Drosophila melanogaster: one gene and its partner. The protein of the gene in region 1 interacts with the protein of each later gene in a pairwise test. Each region holds a gene or a part of one and is shown on either strand. Other genes may lie near its edges. The genes, in order: CG14957 and Nha1.

Region 1 (3,030 bases):
ACTTGCTATCAAAATGCTAATCCGGTTTGCAAAACAGAGGAGGACACTTCCACCACCGAGATCCAGACAACCAGTACAACCACTCCTAGCCCCATTACCACGACAACCACTAAGAACCCAACTACCACTGCTACCCCAATTACCACAACAACCACTGAGATCACGACTACAGAAGCTCCGTGGAATGCCGACGATATCTGTCAGCAATACACTAAAAACACCTTTTTCGAAAACGAAGATGATCCCACCTGCACCACGTGAATACCCTACTGCTGAAAATTGTTTTCGATGCTAGACTAAAGAGTTCATTTTTCAGTTTTATAACCTGTACAGTTGATAGCGACGGAACGCATTCGACAAAAGTCACTTCATGCAAGGCTAATCAGTATTTCAGTACCAGCTTAAAGGTTTGTACCGCCACAAAGCCGGATGGATGCGTGGAGACGACAACCACTATAGCCACCACTACCCCAACCACCACCACCGTGACCACAACAGCGGCGAGTACCACCACAGCGGAACCCTGGAGTGCGGAGAAAACCTGCCTGACTGTCTCTAAGACCACTTTGTTTCAAAACCAAGACGACCCCACCTGCACCACGTAAGTAGACCACGAATTTCCAGGGAACAACTCACATAAACCATTCTTCTAGGTACCTATATTGTTATTTTATCAATGGATCGGCAACAGCTTTGATAAAGAACTGTAAGACCAACCAATATTTTGATGCTTCCTTGAAATCGTGCAGCGAAAACAAACCGGATTATTGCACCTAAGTCAGACCGTTTAACAGCAGTAATCGATCATTATCAGATTTATTGAAACCAATAAAATATTAGTATAAAACAATCATATGATACCATTTTCTAAAATTGGCAAGATAGGATGGGGAACAGGCCACTACAGTAACTATTTAAGAGCCACGCGGAGCTCTTATGCTTCAGAAAGCAAAAGGCAGTGCGGTTAAGCTAATCATGTGGCTGCGTATAATGTTTTTACTGGTGAGGTCTTTAAAAATATCTTTTACCTGTGCTAATGAAATATATGTACATATATATTTTAGTTGCTGGCTCATTGCCTCACGGCTTTGCCAGCTCCAGAGTTTGACGACCACAACTCGAAGACTTGGAGTGCGGAAGAAGCCTGCAGCGAAGTTACAACCACCACCATAATGGAAAACCAGGCTGATCCAACTTGTAGAACGTAGGTCACGTCTATGGCGTACAATAACCAAAATTATATTATATTTAAATTATACATTATCAGCTACGTTTATTGTTACGTGGTCAATGGATCAGTTTTGTCGTTGATTAAGAGCTGCAAAGTGAACCAGTACTTTGATCCCAATTTGAAAATGTGCCGGTCTGAAGTTCCAGATGAATGTTCTGCAATGGCACCAACCAACTAAATCCCACGGCATCTTTCATGCCACTTTGAACTTCTGCAGCGCCAATAAGCTAGAGCTATATCTGAATTTCTTGGAACCCAAAGCTTATAAATGTTTCAAATCTTGATGCCAATAAAAAGTAATAATAAATTATAGCATTGCAATGCTTTTGTAGGAAGTTTTATGGTTTATACGTTATATGGTTTTCAGCGAATAGATTCATTTCTACATATTCAAAACATCCGGATTATTGTTCTTGACAACACCCAGAGTTTACCCAGAAATTTGCACATATCTGAGAAGTCCATAAACAAAGTACATACGAGTACGAGAACGGGTGACAAAACAAATTAATAAACCTACGCAATAAACATTAATTACATTGCCAAAGCGTACCGAGATAAACGATGCTACAGATTAAATCCTGTGGTATTTAAAGGCCGCTTTGGCGCTCCAAGGTTTCAGTGTGCGAAGTGTAGCAAGGTTAAATTGACAATGTGGACGAGTCTAATTGTATCACTGGTAACTATGCAAGGACTGCACTTGGATCTATATCCCAAATCAAAAGAATCCACCCCATAATAGCTCCTGGTCCACTGCCTGCTTGCCGGGGCCGCGCCTGCGCTAAAGGATCTGGACGCGGGCACCTGGAGTGCGGATGAGGCGTGTCAGAATGTGGATAAATCGGTCATAATAGCGAACCAGAATGACTCCACATGCGTCAGGTAAGCAACTCGGCGGATTATACGGATTATCACCTACTAAATGGAAATTCACTTTCAGCTACGTCTATTGTTATAAAGTCAATGACTCAACGAGGGCTCTAATCAAAAGCTGCAAGACCGGGCAATTCTTTGATGCCGATCTCAAATTCTGCACTATCAGCAAACCAGCGGGATGTGTCTAATATGAGAAAGTCTTAGTTAGAAATACGTTTGAATAGTAATTCACTAGATTTTACATATGTATTATTAATTTATTACATTAAAACCCAAAAATTAAATATTTTTCGATTACCTAAGCAACCAGTGGCAAATTCCCAATCAAAATCCTAGACAGAATCGTTTGGATCATTCTTTATGGTTAACTGGATATAAAATGCATGAACTTTCTTTAATCGTTGAGGCTCAGCAGTTGCTCGGTCGTGTGGATTGACAGGACTCTGTATCCGAATTGTAGTATTCATTGGTGTTGCAATAGTATAGCCAGCCCAGGTAATCCTGACTCAATTTATAGCAGTAGACATACCTAGAAAGTCTAAAACTTAAGGCCAACGCATCTTGAAGTTGATAATAATATACTTGCATTTGACACGTTGTATCAGTCTCAACTCGGAAATATCCTTTGCTCTTCAACTTTGCACAATAGGCATTGGGATCTATTTCCGAAGGTACTGTAGTTTGAACGCTGGTAGATGGTTCAGTTGTTGTGGGCGAAGTACTCGAATCAGTGGTAGTGGCAGATGTGGTGGAATCTGTACTTGAATCTGTGGTAAGTTCAGATGTAGTTGATTCTGTACTCGAATTGGTAGTAACTTCAGATGTAGTTGAGTCCGTACTAGATTCGGTACTAATTGCAGAGGTAGTAGAATCCGTACTCGATTCGGTACTAATTTCAGAAGTAGTAGAATCTGTACTCGATT
Region 2 (5,121 bases), on another chromosome or scaffold:
AACGCATTTCAGTGCTTCGTCTTTGGTTTTTCTTCATTTTTTTTTCTCTTGTAAATGGCACGACTGTTATCCCATAGCCATTGTGTTAATCTAATCGATTGACAGAGTTGAGCATTGTCTACGGAACTGCCCAGCAATAGATAATCAGCAGTGATAATAAGGTACGCGCATTCTTACACAATTAATCCCCAAAGCACTTGAGTGTGTGGAGCGTGTAAAATTTGAGAACAATTCACTTGAATCGAATTCAAATGGAGAGAATACACAGTCGGCCATTTCCACGGATTCTTATCAATCGGAGTCACATGTGACCAATGGCGAGGGAGATATGATGATATTGGACACTTGGCTAATCTCCACTGGGCTTTTTCCGGCTGCGATTAGCCGGTTGTAGGACTGTTAATTGACTTTAGCTGGGAAACATGGAATCATGTTTTTCAAGGTGCAAAGTTATTTAATTTTTTTGTGTATCTATAGTTGCTAACAGCTATTTAATTTTTTTGTGTATATATAGTTGCTAACAGCTTATATGGTTTTAGACACACTTTCACAGTTAAATTACTCCTCGTACTTAAGCAATCGCCAGAAATGAAATGGAATATTTCGAAAAATATCTATTAAAGGTTGTCTTCTGATAAAACCAATGATCACAATGATTCTTTATTGGGCGCCAATAAAACAGAGTTTATTACCATGAATCGGTTCCTGTGCGCTTAACTTCAGATTGACGTCAAAGGAGACGTCCTCCAACTCTCACTTAGCTCCAGTCCAATCGTTCAATTGATCAATTAAATGGGTTTTGCAAAGACATTCGATGCCATTGCTCGAAGAAGTTAAGGAAAATTCTTTAAATAGCGCTCGATTGAAGTTATCAAGTGCTAGATGGCATCGGTGGAATCTTTTATGGTCGACGGATTTCGTTGGAGCTTTCACAAAGTTATCTACGGCTGTATATTTGCATTAATTTATTGCAAATATAAAAGACTTTTGCGATGATGATTGATCGCAGCATGTAGAACATTCATATAATATAATATATTCGCGGCTTATCTGACAATCGACGGCGATAGCAAAGGGCGCTATGGCGAAAAAGATTTAGCCATAAAGATCAAATCGAACGAAAGGCTAAATAAAAATCCACCGAACACTCAAGTTGGCGGCTCGTAAAAATCGAAGGGGCCCATGCTAGTTGTGGTTTGATAAGGGGGACGGTGGGGTAGCGGTAAACCCTTATCGGTGCGCCGGACTACTTAATTGGCTTGATATTGCCCTACTACCCCAACTACCGTGTGGCCAAGTGTGGATTGTGATTGATTTCATACCGAATGCTAAATACGCAGACGGGATCGGGTCCCCCTCCTTAAAATTGGTTTCACGATTGCTATCGGATCGCGAAATATGTGTGTGATTACTCCACTTACGAGTGTTTCATTAACAGACCCACTCCACTCGAATCGAATCTCAATCAGCCATGAATGTTGTTTCTATATAATCGGCTACAGATTCGATTTCGATTTCGCTTTCAATTTCCCCCGAGCCCCCTTCCTTCGAGCCATCGAGCCCTCTTTGGATTTCAGTGTGTCTCAGGTGCTTTCCACTGGGGGTTTATCTGCCTCAATTGCGCGAATTGTTTATTAAAACATTATCAATATCTGTAATCCACAGTCGGATCCACTTCACGCTGTTCTACACTCGTTTCGTCTGGCTTTGGCCTTTGTCATTAGTTCCATTGACAACTGCTAATTGTGGTAAGTGTTTATTGGCCCAATTTTCGAGGCATTCGATAAGATTTGGCCCGTGTATCACTCTTCTCGTTTAATTATGCATGTATTTCCTTTATCATGGTGAGACTTCCTCTGCTTATCTAAACCGCACAAATAATGTACTTAAATGATGGGTATACTCGAGATACTGTTTCGGATAGAGGTTACACATTTTGGTAATATTTACTGCTATCATTAAGGTGTTTTTCGGCACGTTTTGATCTGGATCATTGTTTATTCTATTGCAGTGCACAGAAAAGAATTAAAGTTGAGTATTAATTCATATTAATATATAAGTTATATTACTTCGTATCAATGCAACTTCAAAAGACGGAAACTAAATTTGTATCTTTAAGTAACTGAAGTATCTAAAGTAGAGCAATATACGTGCTATATATCTGTGTATGACATGACAGAATCAAAGTTGAAACACTCATTATATGTAGATCTAATTATTCGAAACGTAGATGCAGAAACCTTCTCTTTGATTGTGATACAATGTATATAATATATAATACAATGCACAACCGTTATACGCACTGCGCATTTCCTTGGCAATGTGATTGATTTTATTGATACTGATACGGAATTAATGCGTTCTGAAACTCGTTCACAGCTTACATTAAAGGGTTAACCCGCTTGAGATGTTCGCTTAATAGCATTTAAATGATGATACAATTGGTAGCACTGCAAATTGATTTTCCTCATGCAATAAAATATTCTTATGCATTCATTTCGAGTTCATTAAGAAATCATTCACATTTCATTAATTTCGGTCAATATGCAAATGGTCAGCAAAACGTAAATAAAGTGAAATATATGAGCAAAATTAATAACAGCTCAAAGTCGCAAGCGGGTGTTTTAATCATAAACGAATGTAATTTGCATTTGCACTGTTTTGGCTGCTTTGGCATTTCGATTGGAGTCGCCATAACAAAAAAAAAAACACGTACAGCCAGAAATGTGAAATATCTTAAGTATTTACTTTATTACAGCCACTGAACTCGAAGATGGGAATGAGTGGCAAAACCTACTTTGTATTCACACGGCGGCCAGGAGGAAATTAGGCAACTTTCGTTGATGTTTCAAATCTGAAAGCACTTTGTCACTTTTCGTTGTCTTCGTGTTTTAATCTTCTTCACTTTTCTCGGAATGGCGCCAGCACTCGACTAATTAGAACTCAGTTAGTCGTTCTGCGTTGACTTTTACTTTCATATTCACAAAACGCGGACCACGGAGGCGGAAAACTGTGGCGAAGTCGAACCGCAACCTGGCCAAAAGCACGACTAAGTCGCTGCAAATTCCTGCCAGCGTTTTATAGGCACACACACACACTCACGTCTGTAAACGCGATCGGAAGAATTGAAGCGAATCGAATTGAAACCGCTCTCTTGCTCACCCATTCATTCACGCACTCACTCACTCACTTGCTCACCTACTCACTCTCCGATTTGCGAAGAATTGCCCGAAGTTATGTGGCTGTAAGTCTTATCTTCTTGTATGATCCACCCACCTGAAAATAAAGGTGGCCCAAAGCCCGCTCTTCTGGTAGAAGAGGCGTAAATCAAGGCGATCAAGCAGCCAATGGTGTAAGCCAACTATATAGCTTCATGTGGCTACTGCACTGCCGCGAGTATATCACGAACTTAAGGCCCTCTCGAGTTGTGCGACCCATAAAATGGTCAACAAAATAATTTCCTCAACGCTTCCCAGGCCATAAATTCAGTTGAGAATTTACCATTGGCAAATGCAATGTCATAACTGGTACTCTTGGCGGTGTGAAAATACATTGTTTATATGGCCCTATATGTGACACGAAAAAGTATGCAATAAAAAATATGATTGATGACCCGAGATAACGATTGGTTTTTCTTTAATTAGGCAGTCTTGAGAAGCTCAATCAATCGGAAATCGAAAGCGCTTGATGGCTTTATGGCCACGTTAATCAATTCGTATTGATATGGTCGCGACGTTTCGTTTGCCCATCGTTTGATGAACTTTAGAGGGGATTTGGTAATTGAGTCACATTGAATGCATGGCGGTGGAAAAGTCAATTAGTTAATTGGCGGTCTAATTGACTTGACTTTACAGTGCTCGTCATGCGTATCAATAATACAAATAGCTTCTAAATATCTAAATACTTGCCCAAATATTATATTAGATTAATCATTTGGCGTAAACAAACACCGATAAAGATGTCACTTTGTTTATTTACCATTTGCATAAAACCCAAATGTATGATTTTCGTTTATTTACCTTACCGAATTTCAACTGACAAATCGCGATACACACAAAACTGATAAACGTGTTCTCTCGCAGACAATGAATAGTATTCCTTTTGATATCTGCGCCATAAACCGTGCTTATGTGTCCATAAACTCCTCAAAGATTTCCACTGCGATTCACCTGGGTAAACTAACTTTGATTAGTGCAATATAAGTACATGATATGCGGTATTTGGGGAAAACAATGTTATAATGAAATCAAATAGTGCAAATAGTGCTTACAATTGATAATTTGGTTAAAATGATTATTGTTATTTTTAGCCAGAGATTAATTTGATATTTCTGACATTGCCCGCATAAAGGTATGCCGGCATAGCATTAAAATTGATTTCACTGCTGCCATTTAATATTTATTGTAAATTTGTTTATCTAATTTCCGGCAATATATTTACCTACTTTCTATCTATGTGCATATTGTTTTCGCAACTCATACCAATTTGCAGCCAAAACGGCAAATGGCCGAATCGAATTCAATTCAAACAATCCGCAAAATTGCAGAAATGTATGAACTTTTCGGATGAAACTTCTCTAATTATTTGAGTGGCAAACGGCCAATGTAAAATGCGTCATGACATCGAGGTGGCTGATGAAAATGCGGCTGGGTCAGGGATTCGTGCGGGGTCTCCATAAATTAACTTTGCCAAAATTACAAACATTTTCCCATTTCCCCCATTAAAACCCAAATCACGGTGCCACACACCAGCGCATACATACATACATACATACATACCCGTGTTGGCTGGACGGGAGTGTAGCAATTTCAATTAAAGCTAATTACAACCAATATCGACTGCCAACAATGTCAAGCATCAAATGCGACGAAGCCACCCAAAAGGAGCCAGCTCGATTGGATGGCTGGCTGCTGGCTGGCTGGCTGGCTGGCTGACTGGTTGGTTGGATGGAAGCCCGGCTAGTGTCATGTCTGGGTCGTGCACTGCGAGAAATTGCGGTGATCCGCTCACAAGGTGTCACTCAGTGTCGCCAAAGGTCCTGCCTGTGGGCGACGGTAAGTCCTGCGCGCGGGGTAAAGCGATGCCTGAGTAAGTTTTGTTGTCGTTGTCACCGCCAGCCAC

The links.
Region 2: the proteins of CG14957 (region 1) and Nha1 interact in a two-hybrid assay, tested with the Drosophila melanogaster proteins (one large-scale study listed by BioGRID).

Annotation. Positions count from the first base shown.
Region 1 is NT_037436.4:3,185,696-3,188,725, forward strand, and holds CG14957 (uncharacterized protein), read left to right. Parts: upstream 1-1,867; 5' UTR 1,868-1,883; coding exon 1,884-1,910; intron 1,911-1,973; coding exon 1,974-2,113; intron 2,114-2,171; coding exon 2,172-2,295; 3' UTR 2,296-2,411; downstream 2,412-3,030. Other genes in the region: CG42494 (uncharacterized protein), read left to right, coding at 1-257, 317-601, 654-777; CG32284 (uncharacterized protein), read left to right, coding at 976-1,002, 1,065-1,204, 1,268-1,409; CG42525 (uncharacterized protein), read right to left, coding at 2,516-2,636, 2,694-3,030.
Region 2 is NT_033779.5:6,867,337-6,872,457, forward strand, and holds the start of Nha1 (Na[+]/H[+] hydrogen antiporter 1), read right to left. Parts: upstream 3,054-5,121; 5' UTR 2,798-3,053; intron 1-2,797.